Alligator mississippiensis: one gene and its partner. Each later gene encodes a partner of the first gene's protein in a complex. Links are inferred from orthologs where the notes say so. Each region holds a gene or a part of one and is shown in the gene's direction. Other genes may lie near its edges.

Region 1 (10,850 bases):
GTTGAGGGAAAAAAAATCCTACATGTGCTTCTTATAGAAGCTCAAGATCATGCTCTTGCAGTGAGACACCCCAGGCTTCTAAGGAATGGTTCACAAATAGCATCTGTTTTGCTTAAAGTTCAGTATCACTTTTTGGAATAGCTGAGATATACAACTGGCCCATGAGTATCTTCTGAAGTCGGGATGAAAAGTGTTTACATATGCAAGATCTGAGAATGCACAGGTTTTTATTATAGTGCTGAGCTAGTCCAGCTGTTCTTAAAGACTGTTCTATTCCTTTTCTGTGATTTTTTTTTAATTTGTTTTGTTGTTTTTTTTTAAGATCTACCCCTGCAACTAGATTCTTTTTGCTGTATAAATCAATTTGAATAATTAATTCATGACTTCATTTTCAGCAAGAATGGGACATAGAAGTATTTTGGGTTTTTCATATAAAATGCATCAAAAGTTAGTAAAATCTTATTATGGGGTTAAAGGTAAACCTCAAAGCAAAATAAACTGAGGAAAATTCTAAGACCAGAGATTCTTCAGTCTCTTGTATTTCTTGGAGGACTGCTTTCCAGTTGCTGTGTCTATGCTTGTGCTATGCATAAGGAACACATTCCACACTTTTTATTGTTTCTTCACTTCTTAAACCCACTCTGTTTGGACATAGCTTCCTTAACAGATAATTTTAACAATGCAAGGGCAACTTCTCTTCTCCAAGGATAATCTTTTTCTAAGTGGCTGTTCCTGTTGCTTGGTACCCATTTTGAAATGTGTGCTCATTGAGTCCCACTTCCTCAAGACTTGGTTACCTTCAGTCCATTTTGCAAATGGATCCCAGTTTTACATAAATCATTCACTACAGGCTGCTCTCGGTGTTTCTGTTCTGTTGAAGGCTGTAGAGACATTTTCTAAGTTTGCCTTACTTTACAAAAATAAAACTGATCCAGGATCACTTCAGATATCTGATTATTCTTAAGTTATTTGGCAAGGTTGCTTTACTAGGTTTGTGAAAATGATGCATTTAATTAGGATTATGTAGAGAAGTGTCATATTCTGAAATCTTATTAAAATAAGAATTTGTGTATGCAGTTCTCGCTCAAATTGCTCAGTACTATGAGAAAAAATGCATTAGCGTTCCTTCCTGCTACATTTCAAGTCCTTGCTGCAATTGTGGAGAATCTTGAGTTCTCAAACACCAGCTGGAAGACTATAATGGAAACATTTAACAGTTTTAAATGCAGGGCTTACCACTGCTTCCCTCATAGCAATAACAAGCTGTAACTGTCAGTGTGCTAATTAATATGCAGTGTGCTGTATAATAGGCGTGTGACCAGGAGGAAACGATTAGCTCGCCAATTTTAAATTCTTAGCCTTGCAAACTGTGTCAATAAATTAATGTCTGCAAAGAGCAGACTGTACATTAGTTTTTAAGGACTTAGGTGCAAGATCCATCTAGCTGGAGAACTGCCTAGAACTCAGTTGAGCTACTGTAGTAGGAATGTGAGGCCTAACTCGGATTTCTGAAAGCCCAGATAATTAACTGCTATCACTGGACCACTGAGCAACATAAAGCAGCAGTACCCGTCAGAAGGAACCGTTGTATTAAATGCTGCTAGATATCATACAAAACTTCTTAAACTTGGCAGATGGCAAACAGCATATAGAAACTCTCCAGAATGTCCATGTTTCTTAATATGCCTTAGCTGGCTCTTTGCTGGTGTCATTGAGAGAGAGACAAGCTGCTCTGCTGCAGCTGCATCATTAGCTAGCAGCTCACAATCCACCTAATCACAAGGAGTGCTTTTGCATGATGATGATTAGGATTTTGTGGGCTGGCAATTAGTGTAAAGGTGATGCTCTGGTACCTCTGGAAGTGGGATAAATAGCAAATTGGCAGAATCATAAGGGAGATTAATTTTGCAGTCGTATGCTACATTGTATAAGGACTGTTGCTTTTCCTGTTATGGGAGGGGATGGTGTCTAGATTACAGCAGGATCCCAGTTGAACATCCCCTGTAGTAGCTGCAGTTCCTAGAAGCACACAGATAGTCTGGGAAATGGTATAGGTGGTGTCTGGTTAACAAACTTTACCCCTCGTGCTGTCATTTCCTGAAATGAAAAAAGATTCCCCATGTTTTTAACTAATAAAGTTGTGTCCTAGAGCTTCAAGCAACCAAGAGAACAGCTAGCCTTGATATGGCTACCAGGATATAAAACATTTCCCTTTATGTGTTGCCATTTGAAATCTAGATGGGATCAAAAGTGGTTCTTTCTGGTCTACTTAGTAAGCTCACAGTTGCAACCAGTTCTTAGTTGGACAGCTGTATACATCGCCAAAAAACCTCAAACCTGTAACTGCTTTTCTCCCAACAGAGGTTGAGGATTGTACTGGCTACTACTACCAAACTGGTTTCTCCAGATCAGAGATGAAAGAAAGATATTTGTTTTCCCACATGAAAGGAGCGTTCGTTTCGCTGATGCGAAGAGGACAGGACTCCGAATGGAAACAAGCTTTATCTCAAGCTTTTGCTTATAGCTTTAGGCTTCTGACATCTGCAATACTGTACTTTTAAAATAAGTTGTAGATCTCTGGAGGAAATGTGGTACTTGAAAGGTCGGACTCAATAAATGTCAAAGGATTAACATGAAGGAGCCACGAAGAAAAAAACTATGAAACTAGCAACGTGTTCAAGTCTCTGATGGAGCAAAATGATTGTTTTTGGAGCTTAGAATAAATGTCTGATAGTGTGAATGGAAAGTTTTATTTGAATGCCTTTTTCAGAGTCTCTTAGGAACTGTTCAATAGGCAGAGTACAGTAATAAGTAACTGTTGCAACAAATTTCCATTTTTTCCATCTTGCAGCGCTGATGCTGTACTAAACTAGGGCCGTAGGTTTGCCCTAGAAAGCACGCAGGTATTTTAGACAGATTGCTTCAATTTGGTGCTTTCCCGAGACCCTTGGGAAATTTTGTTGGCTTGCACTATAACAAACCAAATGACAATCTACTTTCTCAACATAGGTTTTTTTTCTTCACTCATTGTTCTTAGAGGACCTGAGAACCTGAGGAAAAGTGAGATATCTATATCCTTTATTTATTTATTTTTTTAGAGGATTTTTGCCTAAATGCAAGTTAATATTTTTCAAGTGTGAGAATATGTGTTAAAAAATGTAGTTAAGTAGCCAAGATTTTATGGTAAGAGACGTCCTCTTTAGCATATTTATTCCAAAAGTAGTACACCAGACTGTTTACTGAATGCTGTGATGAATCACAGAAAGCTTGAAAAAGGCTTTTGGTTCTTACTCTTGTATGTCTCTGCCACCTGTGGCATAGGATTTCAAAGCACTTTACATATGCTAGTTTTAACAGCTATAGAGAATAGGCAGGCATGGACTTTTTATAGGATAAACTGAAGTAGTTGGGACTGTAACATGGTTATAATTCAGTGAAACAGAACCCAGCTCTTCTGCATCCTTTTGAATTTCCCACTCTCCTATTCTAATGAAGATTGCTTGTTCCATATTTAACATTTTTTAAATACAATTTGCTATTTGTAAACCCCTACATCTGCTGGTCTCCATTTTAAATCAAGGGGTAGGACCAGCAATCTGTAAACTGACATCACGTCAGATACTGTTATCTGTATGCGTCGGACAGCTTGAATGTATGAAACAGAGTGAGAAGCATGATTTGATAGTCAACCTTTGCCCTTTCTTCTAAAAGGCTTTGACTAATTGTTATACTCAATTCCAAGAGGGCCATGCTCACAAAGGTTAGTGTGGGCAAATGTCCAGTGTATAACTTTACCAGGGCGTCGTGTTATTAACCTCTAGAATATATGGTTAGTCCCATCTTGTGCCTACGCCTCTAGGCTTTGCAAATGTATATCTGAAACCTGACCTGCACCAGCTCCTACCATCCCAACATCAGCTGTTTAGAGCAACACTTAACAGTTGCGCTTTACAGCCCTAATCCTGAACCACTCTAGCACACCTAACGTTATAATGGCTGTAACTTTAGTCTATGAATATTTGAGTCTGTGCCCACATTAATGGGTCATAGACTACCTATCCTCCCCGTAAATTGTGTATGTTTGATCATCTGTAATATACAAATATATTTTAAAATATAGTTCATTTTATATGGCCATTCTTAGATTCATCACGAGCTGTAAAAAGTTATGCTCGGGTTTCTGTTCGGTATATGCATGCTTCTGACCAAGTTGGCATGGTGGCTTCCATACAGCGTATGAACAAGGGAAAAACTCAATTATGGATGAGTGCCAAGGGTTTGGAGTAGGTGTCTTAGTTCAGATTATAGAAACGTGGACATAGGCCTCCAATGCTTTGACCTAACTTTATACATACACACACAACTGTTTCATATAAGACACTACACACCTCTCCCCTGTTCTAAATGAAAAATATATTTCTAGGTATTATGAGTAGATCACAGTGATCTACAGTTTTGGGGCTAGGGGGTGTCTTCCTTCTGCCACGTGGTCCCTCTCCACTTCAGGGGTATTATCCACGTCAGGGCAGCCGTGGGGGAATCAACCGTGAGCAGCCAGGTTGGCAGTGCCCTGTGCAAGATCTGAAGTCTGAACTAGTCAGAGCTGCTCCGGAAACATCTCTTTTTTCATAGGAGTAGCATTGCTGATGTACTATGAATCCCAGTAGGCTGCAGCTTGGGTTTCCATTCAATGCCGACAGAATATGGTTTTCATGCTTGTACATGTGTATATGTCATATTTGGGAGGTAAATCAGACACTTTCTTAGGCCGTGGTTAAATCAGGCACCTCTCTTCCTAGCCAGCCCTCCCCTGTGGTTTATGTGGAGTCATGGTGGTACACAGCCATGGTGGTAGAGGCTTGGCTGGTGGGAGTGCTCCTGGTTTCCACACAGTGATGGATGCTGCAATGCTGTCTGTGGGTCTTGTGAAAGACCAAACGGGGACGCTTTCACCTGGCGATCCTCAACTGGGGTGCCACGAGACCCTCCCGGGGGGGGCTACAAAAAGCCCTCTCGGTTGGGTTTTTTGCGGGCCTCTCAGCTAGACCTTTGGAAGACTTCTTGGGTCCTGACGACCACGTCTTGAGTCGAAACGTCGTAACTCGGAACCGATTTCCCCATAGGAAACAACGTTATAAATGGGGGATCGGTTCCCGATACCCAATTTTCACCAAAAATAACCCAGCGTTTTGTAACTCAATTGATTACAGATGAGCAATACAGCTACATTAACATATTTATATTGTAAAATATTGATTTGGAAGGGCTTCTTTGAGGTGACTTTGCCGGACTTTTTGACGGCCTCTCTGTTGGGCCTTTTGAAGACTTCTTGGTTGGGCTTTTTGAAGGCCTCTCGGACCTTTTGAAGGCCTCTCGGTTGGCCGTTTTGAGGACTTCTCGGACCTTTTGAAGACCTCTCGGTTGGCCGTTTTGAAGACTTCTCGGACCTTTTGAAGACCTCTCGGTTGGCCGTTTTGAAGACTTCTCGGACCTTTTGAAGGCCTCTCGGTTGGCCGTTTTGAAGACTTCTCGGACCTTTTGAAGGCCTCTTGATTGGGCCTTTTGAAGACTTCTTGGTTGGCCGTTCTGAAGGCCTCTTGGACCTTTAGAAGGCCTCTCGGTTGGCCCTTTTGAAGACTTCTCGGACCTTTGGAAGGCCTGTTGGGTTTCCTGCAGGCCTCTTGTCCGGCCCCTTCCCAGGTGTCTGGTCTGTGGGTCCCATCCCTTCTCCTTCAGGAAAGCGTGGGGGAAGTTGGGAGGGGCGCTCTGGCACCGAGTGGCGGTGGCCAGGTGGGGGCGCTGTGGGGCGGGGCCCGTGCGCATGCGCGTGGGCGGGGCGGGGCGGTGGCCGGGCGGAGGCCCCGCCCCGCGGGAGGCGGCGCCGGATGAGGCGGCGGCGCGGCGCTGACAGGCGCTGCGGGGCGGCGCGAGCGGGCAAGATGGCGCTGCGGCCCGGGCCCGGCTCGGGGGGCGCTGCCGCCGGCGGGGCCGGGGCTGGGGCCGGGAACGCGGCCGCCGCCAGGTAGGCGCACACCGCGTCCGCTGAGGGGAAGAGGGAGGCGGGCAGCCCTCGGCTCCCCTCGCCTGGGCGGCGGGGAGAGCCGGGGCTCGCGGCGGGGCAGCGGATGCTTCCCCTCAGGCCCCGGCTGCGAGTTGCCGGAGCGCTCCCTTGACAGGCCTGGGTGCCGGCGTGAATCCCCAGGAAGGCCTGGGTGCGTCCCTGGAAAGCCCAGTGCGCGCTCCCGGCAAGGCCGAGAGACCGCGGCAGGTGTCCCCTCATCCCACTGGGTCCCCGCGTCTCATCCCATTTTAACATCCCGACGGCGGGGAATCCTCGGGGTCTCGCGGCCTCCGGCTCCGGTCGAGCCGCGTGCCCCGGCGCGGTCGAGGACGTGGAGGCGGTCATTTGGGCGCGGGGGGACTTCAGGATAATTAATGTATGTCTGTCCGTCTGTCTGTCTGTCTGTCTGTCTGTCTGTCGGCGCCATGTCGCGGCGGCGAGGACGCTCCGTGGCGGGGATTTGCCGCTGAGCGGTGCGGTCTGGCAGTCGCGCTCCTACGGTCAAAGTCGGCGATTTGCTGAGAAACTCGCGTAGGATAGCGTTGGTTTTCACCCGCCCGGCGTGCATGGCGGCGGCGGCGGCGGCTCTTCTTTGCGCGTGCGATTGCTAGCATGCCCGGCGTCCCGCTGCTCGGGAGAGAATAAGCACGTTGAATATCGGCGTCGCGTCCTCGGCAGCACGAGCGGCCGGCGATATGGACGAGGCGGATGGATGTCGGTGTAGAAATATCTACAAATAAATGACGTTTTCTTTTGTAGAACAAGGGGAAATACAACGCTCTTCTGCGATGATCGTATATAAAGCGGAGCTGCGGGCCGTTATATTGCGTCGATCGCACGTGCTGCTTTTAGACGTTGATTTTCCGCTACTTTTAACTCCCCTTTAGTCTTAAGCCCGCACAGCGGGCGTTGCAGACTACTAATTACAGCACGCAACTCCTGGAAATTAGGCAGCTCCATATTTTACCTGGTTTTCCCGTGTTACAAAGTACCTGGTTTGTTCAGCACGTAATTCTCTTGTCAGCTGAAAAAGTTGTGTTATCGGGTATAACATCTTATTTAGGAATCGGCTCCGTTCGCATCAGTAAATTGTCATTTGTTTTTATAAATGAATTCTAGTACAGTTAATTGCAGGGGTTTAGGTTGTAGCTGTGTTGGTCTAAGGATATAGGCAGACAAGGTTCCTTGGGTGAATTTGATATCTTTTATTAGACCAACAGTTAATTATTGCTGTTAAAAAAAATTGTGCCCACTGTTGAGGAAGAAAATTGAGTTCTTTTGATAAAAGGGAATAACTCTGAATCTGCTTTTAATTGGATGTGTATACCCATTTTTTTTCTCCTCTGTGTTTGTACGTCATTGAAAAGACGCTTATTTTTTTCTGTCCCAGAATTCCTGATGTAGTTTTCGGTTTCTTGTACAGCCTAGAAGTAGACAAACGCATGCTAAATCTTTGACTCTACAAGGTGCACAGTGCAGCCTAAACACACAGAGAGAATATTTTATTAGAGAAACCAACTTTGTCACACTTAACCAGCTCTTACAGTTGGCTTCTAATTAGCTTCAGTTTTTTAGGATGCTTATAAATAAATCACCACTTCTCTAGAAAGGAATGAATATTTAATCAATTGTTCTTTATTTGCTTCCAGCATGCAATGGTACCTCTCTGCGCTTGTTCAGATTACATTACATTTCAGTGAAACTAGAAGAGATCCTTATTTCTGTCACCAGAATTTCTGCCAAGAAGAAACAGGAAGTCATTTAAAATAACTGAGGACACTTTGATAGAAGCACTCCCTGTCCAAATAAAAAGAGAGCTGAAAATGCTTTTTTCCCCTCAAATAAAATTTTCTCTCATTATTCATAAAGTAACATATGTTCGCTTGTAAGGATGAGGCTTGTAAATGCTGCAGGTTTCAAGTGAATAATTTGTTTGGAGCAAGGTGCTAGTTGCCAGTCTGATTGTTCTTACAGAAATGCACATAATGGAACTACTTTTAGTCGCATACGTTTTATATATTCTGGGAAGAAGTGCTGTTTTGGCAACCTTTGGGACAGAAATCCTCTACCTATAGCAGGGGTGTAAAAGATACGGCCTGTGCACTGGTTCCAGCCTGCGGAGCCCAGTCATTTGGCTTGCAGTGCTGTCTGGGTCTTGTCTCGGCACCATGCACACAGCACGTGCTGGCCCAGGCCCAGTACAGTGCATGTGGTTGGAGCTGGCACAGGGTCAGTCTGGGGCACCCCCTGCATGCAGTGCCCATGCTGGACTGGACCCTCATACTAAATCTAGTCCAGATTGGACCCACAGACTGGCAAAACTTGCTGGATTGAGTGCACATGGCTGGTCTGGCATTGGCGCCACATGTAGCGCACACTCCAGACTGGCCCTATATGCGGTGTGTAATGTGAGTCCTAGAATAGCCCTGTGTGTTGCATGCTTCACTGGGCCAGTGCAGGTTGGATGTGGTGCATAGGGGTAGAGCTGGCACGTGTGCCCTCCCACGGGATGAGTTTGACACCCCTGATCTGTAGGTGGAATCCAGTTAATTCACTCTGTCCTGTCAATACGCCTCAAACATAGTGCAGAAGGAACCCTCTCTTGCAGCAAAAGAGGAATTAAATCATTTGGCCCTTCTGCTTAATCTTTAGACGAGATTGCCTGTTTAAAGCAGGGCTGTATGTGTTGTCAGTATCCATCTGTTGAGGCCTGGACTGAAGCTACCAAAGTTGTTTCATGTGCACTGGCCTACTCAAATAAACCGATAAGCTTTTGGGCACAGGAGATCGGGGCTGGATTCCCTTTGAACAGTCCAGTCCCAATGCATATTTCTACGTTAGGTAGATTGTATCTTTGAAACAGACCCTCAGCAGGACTGTGGGAGATGTGTCGGGTAACAGAAAACCTGCAGACTGGTACTGAAGTAAACTGGTAATGTCTGTTTTGGGTAGGATGCAGGTATGCATTTCAGATTTGTGAAAGGTGAAGGCAAATTGTAACTTGATGGTTAGGCAGAACAAAGATTGGAGGGGCTAAGTGGATCCTGGGTTCAAATCAGAAAGGAGGTTGTCTGGAGGAAAACATGCAGTGTTTATCTGGGATTGAATTCTTCACTTATACACACAGGCTGCATAGTAAGAGGACTGGGTACAGCCATGAATCCAGCTTCCTTAGGTTCTCATAGGAGAATGGTTTTCTGATCAGTGCAGGTTTCTTTGCATGAGAAGGAGTTCATTCTCATGCCATTTTTCTCTTTGCTTTGTTTTTTTAGTTTGTCAGGTGACCTCTTGCTCACCCTGTCTCGAGTTGAGAGATGTTGAATGTCTACACACTTCTTTGTCTTTGCATAGTGTTTTGATGCAAGAGGTTGATGGAGCACTGAAAGAAATTCTTGGTTGGTAAATTATTGCTGACATCTGTCTGGGAATTGCTTACAAGCAGTATCCCTAAACTAGGTTTTCTTTTTTTCTGTTGGGCAAAGCTAATTTTCTGCTTCAAAGTGGGGATGTTGGTATTATCATTTCAGTTGAATTTTGAATATGTTTTTATCTTGCTGCTTTTGGTGATTTTTGTCCCCATCCCCCATTTATTTTTTTTCTTTTAACTGGATACAATGGAAAATTAAACACAAACTAGTGCATTGTCTATTTCCTCCTGTCTTTTACTACTTCGTATTTAAGAGGAAAAACATAAGGCAAGTGTATAGTATTTCTTGGGTAGTTTCTTTCTCTGCAGAAAAAGTGTTATAAAGTAGTTAATGATTCTGCTGAATCAGATTTATCCAGCAGGGGATGTTTTATTACTTTTACAGTTCTTAAAGGCCTTGCCTGTACCAAGAAATTCGCCCACGGTTGACCCAACACAAAATGATGCTGAAAACATTCCCATTGGTCATGTAGATGCCTCAAAACCATTTTGGTCCTCCTGTGGAGCTATCTTCAGGATTAAGTCAGGAGAATCCTTTCTGACGCCCATCAGTAGCAATTGTCCATGTCGTTGTATAGGAGGAGGCCACCCTGGTTGATTTTAATTTGCTGCAATTTGTATGGACTTTATCAGCCAGGTGAATGGCACAGTTTGTGTTATGTACCACAGCAGGAACTGATGACGTGGCACAGCTTTTGTATTCCTTATATTTGGATAATTGCTCAAATACAGTATTGAATTATGAAGTTGTTGACTCATGCGTGTTCTTTTGGTTTCTTTTCCAGCTTCATGTTCCCTGTAGCAGGCAGCATTGGCCCTCCTCAAGGTATGAATCAACTTCAGATGGTGGACACCTCTGTGCCCTTTTCTGTGCATGAAAGTTAATGTTAAACATCTTTTATCACATGTACAGTAATTTAGTGTTTGCTTTTGAACCATAATATTGTGAAGAATAAGCCTGCCTGCTGGTTACATTTTTCTACCTTTATCCCTGTTCAATAGTACTGCTAAGCTGAATCATATATCTTTGTTTGCAGTTTTCCCATTTAACTTATTGGATTTTATGGGGGCGGGGGATGTTCCAGTAGGTTGGAGCAAGGCTGTGGAGTCCTGAATCTGTCACTGAGTCTGCTTTCTCCTTGTTCTGGATTTAAATATATCAGTTGGTATACCTGTATTGTAGGTGTTGCAAGGGTGTGAGATCCTTGGATAAAAAGCATAACATAAATACAAAATATTAATAAGACACCTAAGACTTGACCTTAATCTGCTTTTGTCTCATTTTTTATTCCATACTACTGTATTTAAATAATTACAAGTGAAGGAGGGCTAGAGAAACTTTTATAAGAAAATTCCATTTGC
Region 2 (10,075 bases), on another chromosome or scaffold:
TAATTGTAATAATTCATTTTATTGTGTTGTTTTAGTGAAAGTAAATAAACAACTACTACTACTTATGGTTACATTCAGAATCAAAAGATTCTGCATGCTGTGGAGTCCCTAGGTACATACTGCATACGCTTTTTCCAAGGAAAAGACAGTACATGTTTTCTAATTTGATTCAAGTCACTGGTCCCACAAGTTTTTAATGTCAAGTATCCAATCAGCCAAAGGATTTGATAACAGGCTGTGGTAACAACCTTAACATTGAGGACAATGAATGGGTATAAAGACCTGAGCTACACTTGTCTTAGGGGTGGCCTTTTCCATGCACTCTGCCAGGGAAGCAAGGGGAAACATGAAGCACCAGTGGCTCTGATGTACCATATCTATCCTATATAACTTAGGAGAAGACTGCGTTATCTAGGGTTGTGAATCTTTTATGAGCACTACATTCATACTAGCTACAATATTGCAAGCTTCACATGCGAAACAGCAAAAAGGTCTTTATACAAAATGTCCGTCCTCTTCTGTCTGGTCTATCTGCTGTTTGTACAGTCCATTAGTGTGTGCACATCCCAAGAAACAATGGCGTGTGGTGTCACCTTTGTCCTTTTTGTCTTTGTGCGTGATTTTTGACAACTATAGTGAGCACCTTATGCTGACCAGAGTTAAGGTGAAGTTGACAATGTTTAGGGCACCTTTTCTAGCCTTTTTCTCATGCTACAGAGGTGATCAGTGTGATCCTAAATAGGGCTGCTCAGTCACCCAGGGAGGTGCCAAATTCCACTGCTCCTTTGGTCCAGCGAAAAGTGACCCTATACCCTGAGCTGCCTGTGTGCAGGTTTGCATTTACAGCTCCCAGTGTATTCACACCTGCTGTTTTGCTGCTCGCCCATCACCATAGGACTTGAGTGTATCTATGGGGGGATATAGATGATGTCATGGCTTGCACATGAGTTGGATTTAAGTGAGGGAAAGTTGCACAGAGTCACCCTCACTCTCTCATCCAGGTCTCTCTGAATCTATTGGCACAACAGTCTCAAGACGTCTGGAGACAAGTCCGGATGAGGTAGATGGCCATTAGGTCCTACAGCACCCGAACTGATGACCTGAACTGTCCACACAGCCTTCACAGCCAGGGAGATGAACATATCTTTTCAGATACCTGATCCATCAGAGAGGACTTTCCAGAGGGAGCCAGGTGTAGCTGGGCAGGATGATATAAGAGACAAAAACTGATCATAGCTGGAGTCAGAAATGATAAGATATTACTGCATAGTACAGTATTGTATTATGAAAACCAGTATATGTGGTCTTTAAGTCTTCAGTGGATATTGAGATGGACTGCTTATTTCTTTTTTACAATGCTTTGTATTTTCCTGTTTTCAGAGATTCACCCCCCCCCCCGCCCCTTCATATCCAAACAGAACAGTCTACAATGGTCAAGATAGTATATCTTTAAGTGTTACATTATTCTGTTTCCTGTTCTCCACCCTTACCTCCCCCCCAACTTCCTTTTACTTCCTTTCAGGTCAACAGGGACTTCTTACAGTATGAGACCTCTGTTTGAAGAAAGTGGAACAGCCACCAGGGGGCAAAATATAATAGTAATAGAGCAATATAATAACTAATTTCTCGTGTTATAGCCTCAGCTGCAGAAACATTCCTAAGCTAATTGAAATTTAGAATATATTTTCCCAAAGCTTTACAATGATTTAGCATAGTTCATGCTTAATAAACATTATTTGCGAATTATTTTAACACTTATATTATGTATACAGGATCCAAGTCTTAAACACATTTTAACATTATCCATCTAAGATCTTACAGTTAAGCACGTGCTTAAGTATTTGCAGGAACTAGGCCCTAATCTCTCTCTTGGTCTTATCATTTGTTTTGTACTGTATTGTGTTATAGAGAGTCAGTTTCGTGAAGCCAAAGAAGTTAGAGTACAGAGGATTTGGCTCTGATTCCAGATATGCTTCTCTAAATAACTTCAACTACTTTAAGCTAAGGGACTATTTACTAATACTGCATATGGATTTGCAATATAGAATATCCAAATATATTATATTTTTAGTGCTATTTTCTGCTGTGATTATTACTGTTTTGTTCTCAGTGTTCTGTCATATATTACTGTTTTGACTAATTTCCAAGGGTTGTTTCTCACTCTCTCTCTCTCTCTCTGTCTGTCTCTCTCTGTACAACAGAGTGATTACAAGTTTTAAAAATTGAGCATGCCTTGAATACTCTCTTGGACCCAACCCTTTGTTCTTTCTTCTTTAAATTCTTCCTTACAATACAGGCAGACAAGGTTCCTTGGGTGAATTTGATATCTTTTATTAGACCAACCCAAATGGTTGGAGAATAGTTATTAAGCAAGCTTTCGGGTTCAAAAACCCTTCGTCAGGCTAAGGACGCTGCAGCACTTGCTGCGTGCTCTTCCTGGATGGAATGAAAAGTAAACAAGCCAGGGGCTGGGCTGGGCTGGGGAGTCAGTTGCCAGGCGGATTGTAATATATCAAAAATCCAGTGTCTATGTTTAGTCCCTGATCTCTAGTATCCAGCAGGTTGATGAAATGGAGCTCATAGGCTCGTCTCTGGGAAGTGTTGTGTAAATTTCCCTTGAGGATCAGGACTGAGATTGGAGAGAGAGTGGCCCTCCTGTGAGAAATGTGCCCCCACAGGTAATTGGGTGTTTCTGTCTTTGATGGATTTCCGATGTGCGTTCATTCTGGTGCGCAGTTGTTGTCTGGTCTCTCCTACATATCTTCCATCAGGGCATTTGGTGCATTGGATGAGGTATACTACATTCCTGGAGGTGCAGCTGTAAGATCCTGGGATGCTGATGGCTCTGTTGTGGGGTGTAGTAATAGTGGAGGTGGTGGAGATGTGGGGGCAGGTTTTGCTTTTCTTGTCATGGCACGGTCTGGATCCTTTTGGCGTGTTCTGGGGCTGAGGAAGTTTGCTTCTGGTGATGAGGTTGGCGAGGTTCGGTGCTTGTCTGAAGGCTAGGATGGGTGGCTCTGGGAAGATTTTTTTAAGAATAGGGTCTTTTTCTAATATGGGTTGCAATTTTTTGAGGATTTTCCGTATAGGTTCAAGGGATGGGTGATAGGTCATAACCAGCGGTGTGCGATTTGTGGGTGTTTTTCTTCTGTACTGCAGCAGTTCTTCATGTGGTATCCAGGTGGCTCTTTCAAATGTGCGATCTACCTCTCTGGAGGAGTGTCCTTGCTGGGTGAAATAATACAATACACTTCTTCAGGAAAACCTAGGTATTCCCCTTTGAGCAACAAACAAATAAAATGATAAAAGCACAAACTGGAAAAAGCAAAGATTATCCAACTGGAGCAGAACCTTTGTGTAATCACAGCCATACTCCCAAACCCAGTCTTTGTACGGTTCTCCTCCCTCTTCCAGAACTATGGATCAGACCCTGTGTCACATTTTACATGCAGAATTTGAAAGCTGAATCTTCTCTCTTCCATTTCTAATAGCCCATTTACTCACTAGGGCTGATAGCTCCAGAAAATTCAGATGGTCAAAAAGGTCCCAAACTGGACTTGAGCTCCAGGGGTGTTGTCACAAGTTGTGCATCTGATTAAGTGAACTCGAGTTCACAAAAGCTTGGGCTCTCTAGTTTGTCTATAAAGTGTATCTCTACCCTGCCTTCTGCCTGGTTAGGATAGTCAGTCAGATAGGACTATGTGCTTTGCAGAACTGGGACCTAAGCATTTTGCCCTGAGGTGACAAAGCGGCAAGGTAGAGAGTGAAACACTGACTTTGGGATCCCTTCCCCAAATAAAGAGAGGATTACAGGAACAGAATTGCTGGATCAGCCCAGTTGCCTATCTAATCCCTGGCACATGTCCAACAGTTGCCACCACCAGATTTTTCAGAGGAAGGGGCAAGAGAACTGCAGAAAAGAGTTGCAAAGTAACTTACTCCAATTCATTTTCAACGTTCCCCGAAGTGCCAGGGGCTAAAGTCATGCTTTGATGCTCAAGGGTTTATAACTGCATGGTTTTGTTATCTATATACATCTCCAGTCCTTTCTGAACCCTGATAACCTCCTGATCTCTTGTGATATCTGAGGGCAATGAATTCCACAAGATAACCATGAGTAGTGCAAAAAGGCATTTCCTTTGATCAGTTTTGAATTTTCCCCTTTGTTATTGTGTTATGAGACAAGTAACGAGAAGATCCCAAATTACTTTCTCTTTGCTCTTCATGATGTTGTGTATTTTTACTGTCTCCTCCTATTCACATCCATTATACCTTATGTTCTCAATCTTTTCAAACTCTTTGTAGAAGTCTTTCCCCATCCCTTCTAATTCTTGTGGTCCCCACTCCTGAACCCCCTTTATTATAACCCTGTAACTTTTTCTGCAGGAAAAATGCAGCGTGAGACTGGGAGAAGACACACATAGCACAATCCTTCTCCCCCAACACCTGCCCTAGGTTCACCCTCACAACACATTTGGCTTTAAACTAGCAGTCAGCACTAGCGATTGTAGTGCCTTCGTTGCAATAGACACCACACCCTGTGCGGTTGGAGTGACTGAGGCTGGTAAGCACAGAGAAAGGGAGAGTGAGCCTTTCTGCACAGCAAGCCGTATGAAGAAATGCTGAGGGATCTGGGAATCTTCAGCCTGAAAAAGAGAAGGCTGAGAGGGGACTTGGTAGCAGCTTACCACTACATCAGAAGCGTACATCAAGGGCTTGGTGAACTGTTCACCAGAGCACCCTTGGGGAAAAGTAGGAGTAATGGTCACAAACCCTAGAAAACTGATTCAGGCTTAACACTAGGAAAACCTACTTCACTACTAGGGTGTCCAGACTGTGGAATAAGCTCCCTCCAGAGGTGGTGCAATCACCTACCTGGGAAGTTTTCAAGAGGAGACTGGAGGGCACCTTGCTGGAGTCCCCTGATCCCAGTTGTCTTTCCTGCCTGGTGCAGGGGGCTGGACCCAGTGATCTTTGGAGGTCCCTTCTAGCCATGAACAGTCTATGAATCTATGAACAAGTGGCTGGGCCTTGGCTCCCTTCCTTTACAAGCTTGGGCAAGGTGCTTGCTCCCCATGCCTCTGGGTATGTGGTATTTCATGAAGTGCCAGCTCCCAGAGTCCCAGGATTGCTGATTAAAAGTAATGATCTTTCAAGCCTGGCAGTTTCCAGAGAAAAGCTCAGAAATGTGACCCTAAGGGGCTCCAACACTGACACACAGCAAACAGAAACAACCTCCCCGCCCCAAGCACACGGCTCCCCTGATTTTGGGCCCCCCTGGAGTTTGAGCCTAGCTGGGACAGGACTAATGGGGCTGGGGTGGCTGCAGCATGGCACATTTGCAGATTCACAGACATTAGGGCTGGAAGGGACCTCCTAAGATCATCGGGTCCAGCCCACTGCCCAAGGGGAGGAAGTCAGGGAGGGTCAAATGATCCCAGCAAGATAAGTATCCAAATGTTTTTTAAAAGTGTCCAGAATAGGTACTTGCACCAACTCTGAGAGGAGTCTGCTCCAGGCCTTGGGAGCTCAGAGAGTACAGAAGTTCTTCCTTTTAGCGAGTGCGGTGTGAGCGGTGCACCCGTAAGGTACTCCTCCCTCTCCCCTGGTGGAAGTGGGGGAAGCCTCTGCCCGCCCAGGCCCCACACTCTGCTCTCTCCGCCCACAAGGAAAGCGGGGAAGGGAAGGCTAAGTGCCCTATTCCAACATGGCCGCTCAGGCATCGCTCTGGCTTCACCCCTCTGAGTCTCACCGGCCAAACGAGCCCTTCTGCCCCACCTTGCCCGCCTCCAAGATGGTGGGCACTCCACGCTCCCCCGGGGGCTTCCCGGGAAGTGACGCGGTACCGCGCGGCCTGCTGGGAGAAGGGCTCCGTGGGTGGCGGGGCAGGGCGGGCCGGGCCGGAGGGGGCGGGGCTGAGCGACGCGGTTCCTGTTGCCCGGGGCTCGGACATGGCGTCCCCCTGACGGCGGCCGCCTGCCAGGCCCCGCCCGGCCCCGCCATGCCCGGCCCCGCCGCCCCGCCAGGAGCCCGCAGGTGAGGGCTCTGCTCCTGACCCGCCGGGGGGCGCTGCTCCCGGCCCGGCGCGGGGTCTGTGGGCAGGGCAGGCACGGCCCGGCCCGGCCCGGCCTAGCGAGGCCCTTCCGTTTGACCCGCCCCGGGCGGGGCTCGGCGGGGCCTGGTCTCGGTCCTTGCTCCCTGGCTCCGGTGTGGGACCCCTCCGGGCGGCGGGAAGGGCAGCTGCGAGTCCCGGGGGGCTGTTTGGCTAGAGCAGTGGGGGAAAGGGGCCAAGTGCTGCTGTGTGGGAGCCCTAACCTGAGACCTTGCTTATTGTGTCAATGTCAGGTGGCTGTCGGCGTTGCAGCCGCTGTGATCATCTAATCTTTATTATTGCCCAAATGGCATCATCGCCCTTGTCATCGTTGGGGCTGGAGGGGTCTCAGTGGGGGTAGATGGCAGAATAAGGAGTAGCGGGCTCAAGTTGCCGCAAGGGAGGTTTAAGTTGGATACGAGAGAAAAACTTTCTCAGTAAGAGGGTGGTGAGGCACTCAGATTACCCAGAGAGGTTGTGGAGTCTCCATCCTTGGAGGTTTTCGACACCCAGCTAGACACAGCTTTGGCTGGGATGATCTAGAGTGCTATCTATGGCTCAACCAGTGGGGCGCGAAGGTTGTGTAGGTGGGACTTCAACTAATTTGAAAATTTCCATGAATGATTAATATAATACAAAAATGTATGTAAACATAAAACTACAATTCTTGGGAAAAGTGGGGTTTTGTTTTTATCATGGTGGGACCGGGGATTTTTAACACAATGGTCGGTGGGACATAAGCAGAAACAACTCGAGAAGGGTGCGGGGTCCGGGGCTAATAGGCCTGTGTGGGGGCCCTGCCCCTGGATGCGAGGAACCCCGCGGCAGATTCGGTGGAGCCAGGGGTAGGGGGCTGCTGAGCAGCCGGATGTGAAGCTGGCAGCAGCATGGATTCGCTGCGGCCGCTCTGCCCATCTCCGCAGAGCCCCCCAAAGCACGGGGCCCGGGGTGGTTACCCCGATTCGCACCCCTTAGGGATGGCCCTGAGCGTGAGGTGCAAAAGGTTGAGAACTGCTGATCTAGACCAGCAGTTCCCAAACTCTGACAGATTGAACATCACCAATTAAAAACAATACAACCTTAAGTATCACCAGCACATTTTTGTCTCATAAAGTAATTATACTAAATCTGTTAACATGTACCACTAGCAGGTTGTCTGCATACCACTGGTGATACCTGTGCTGCAGATTGGGAACTGCTGATCTAGTTGGGGCCGGTCCTGCTTTGAGCAGGGGTTTGGGCTAGATGCCCTCCCGAGGTCTGTTCCAGCCCTCATTTTCTATGATCATCACAATAGCTGTTCTTATCATCATTGCCACCATTCTGGCTCCCGAGTCCACTCTGGGAAGTGGCCCTCTCCCAAGACTACCGGAATGTGGTTTCTTGGTGGAGGTGATCGCTGACCAAAGAGCTGAACACAAGCCATGGTAACTGAAGACAAGTAGTTGATTGCAGGCGGGGGGGGGGGGGGGGGGCCCTTCCTGCCTGTTCCACTTCTGAAAGTTTCAATTTCATTTCGGTGCACTGCAAGACCTGGTTCCTGTTACAAGGGACCTGGTCAGTGAGTTGTTTATTAGACTAACTTCACTGCAGGGGTTGTACTGTATTGCTGATGTAAGTTGTTTTTACTCCTTTGGTTTTAAACTGAAACACAGGGCAGGTTACTATTAAGTTTCAGCTGTTGAGCTCATGAGAGAGTGAATTTATGGAATATTGATTAAAAAATTGCTGTTGGGATTGTCCTTGGTGATTGACCTTTAATTCTAATTATTTCCTCTTCATTTATTCTCTAGACATGTTGTTGTTATGAACTAGACTCTCAGAAACCAGTTAGCCTTCTAGGAAAAAAAACAGAGAAAAGGCTGGGTTATACTGTGAGTGTGTTTGCAAGTGCACACAAACCTGTATGTAGGATGTGGTGTTAATAAAACTCCTTATAATTCTTCAGTGTAATATCTTCTATATATGAAACCAGAGATATAATTAAAAGAACGCACAATTATGGGTGGAAGAAAGAAGGGATATGACTTTGGCTGTTGCTTTTGTTTTTTTGGTTTGTTTTTTGTTTAAAGACCTTCTCTTCTGTACGTGAAATTAAATTAAATGAAAGTGAGAGCTTTAGGCAGATTGAAACTATTTTAACACTTGTGGCTAGAGAGACTTTCAGCTTAAATGTCCAATAAGGAGACTGTTAAACACATAATATTGTTTTTGTTGTTTCCTTGGCACATGAAATTGATCTGAAAAATGTAATAGACAATTGGAGTTCTCTTTTTGTGTATCTGTTTTGTATATTGTCCTAAAGGTATGGCAAAACTCCTATACTTTTAATAGGAAAAATAAACTCCACTCAATGTTATGACCTGTTTTACATGCTATTCTTGAAAACCAATAGTAAACCTGTTGCTTTTGTGGGTTTGTATTTTTTTGTTTGCTTTTTGTATTTATTTAGTAATATATCAAATAGTTGTCTGAATCTGCAGTAGGCAACTTTTATTTTTAGGGGACAGTATCTAAAATTACTAAATATCACAATACTCAAACTTCCAGACTAGGCTGTCATTGCAACTGGATTATATTTAATACATATAGAATTTAGAAGTTGGTAGTTTACTGGACTTCAAAATTTCCTTTTCTTCTGTGTCATTCAAAAAGAAACACGGGGAGGGAGATAGAAATACACCACATGCATGGTCACTCACAGACTTTGTGCTCTCCATTTCCCACTTTGCAGTTGCTCAGACTGTGCTAGTAGGGCTCTGCAGTTGCTGTCATTCATATTGTCTTAACTGCTCGGGTCTATGACTGTTCCAAATGTTAGTAAATTGATGTTGCTTTTTAACACGTGCTTTTGTGTAGTAATAAAGATAAGGAAACTGTATAGCCCTTCTTGGCACCATGTTTTTTTTCCCTCTTGCAGATTTTTTTTTCCAAGAGGGGTGGTTAGCTATATCAATCTGACATCAGGTAGAAGGCAGGGCAACATAGGGTAGTGTACATAAAGGCTAACTGATTCAGAACGGTGTAAGCTTTCATAAGTGACAGCCTGTTTTGTCAGATGCTTACATCTTTAAGGCGCTACCTTGCCCTGCCGTCTACCTAATGGCTTTAAGAAGGGTCACAGTAACCTGTTCTGGTGTCTTACTCATGCTTCTAAGTAAGCATATGCAGGATCTTGGTGTAAACATAAAATATGTGATGTCTAAATTTTCTGTAACTAATTCTTTCACTTAAATTAATACATTTTAATGTGTTGCAAACTTAAAAAATGAAGTTTTCAGACTTAATTTTTTCTGTTAAATAAAGCAAAAGTACAACTTTATATTTCCATCTTAACATAACAGTTGCTTTCCTTCCTTGATATGCTAGTGTCCAGTTTTTTTAATATCTACATTGGACAAGTTAATTCCTGTGGATGTGTGTGAGTTTTTATTATTTGTTTGTTATTCTTTTCCAAAGACTTGTGCCTTTCCCAAACCAGACAGGTGATAGATAGCAGTTTAATCTTGCCCTCCCCCTCTTGAAATAAAGTTCTTTCTACCTTTTACTGGGCTAGAAAAAACAGGGTTTTTTAGTGGGTTAAAAATAAAGAAACTAATGCCAAATCTGGCTCTTCATGTTATGGTCAAAAGAATAAACTATAAGTGGGGAGGTTTTGTGGGGGTTTTTTTGTTTGTTTTTTTTTTTTTTTTTTTTACCAAATCCAATTTTTTGTACTATGACTACTTTTTTGCATCCTGTTTGACCACTTAAAACGATACTTTTTCACTGTGTTGAAATCAACGTAAACAGAAAATATCTTTGTCCTGTTTAAAATGGTGCTTTCTAAAAATATTTTTTTTTTTTTCAAAAAATCTTGAGAAGAGAGAATTTTTTGGGGATATTTAAAAAAAACTGCCTGTATTTCCTTCTATATTCAAGGCAAAACTGTTCATACTGGTCCTGGATAGTATCTTTGTTTTTTGAAATTGGCATTTTTCTAGT

Evidence for each region.
Region 2: SYNRG (region 1) and AFTPH share a complex: the UniProt entries of both Homo sapiens proteins name them as parts of the aftiphilin/p200/gamma-synergin complex. The link is inferred for Alligator mississippiensis from reciprocal best matches to the Homo sapiens genes SYNRG and AFTPH.

Annotation. Positions count from the first base shown.
Region 1 is NC_081837.1:5,842,956-5,853,805, reverse strand, and holds the start of SYNRG (synergin gamma), read left to right. Parts: upstream 1-5,917; 5' UTR 5,918-5,939; coding exon 5,940-6,022; intron 6,023-10,273; coding exon 10,274-10,314; intron 10,315-10,850. UniProt on the Homo sapiens protein: Plays a role in endocytosis and/or membrane trafficking at the trans-Golgi network (TGN). May act by linking the adapter protein complex AP-1 to other proteins. Component of clathrin-coated vesicles.
Region 2 is NC_081824.1:214,441,700-214,451,774, forward strand, and holds the start of AFTPH (aftiphilin), read left to right. Parts: upstream 1-5,921; 5' UTR 5,922-6,036; intron 6,037-10,075. Other genes in the region: uncharacterized protein LOC132246577, read right to left, coding at 2,578-3,228, 4,876-4,995. UniProt on the Homo sapiens protein: Component of clathrin-coated vesicles.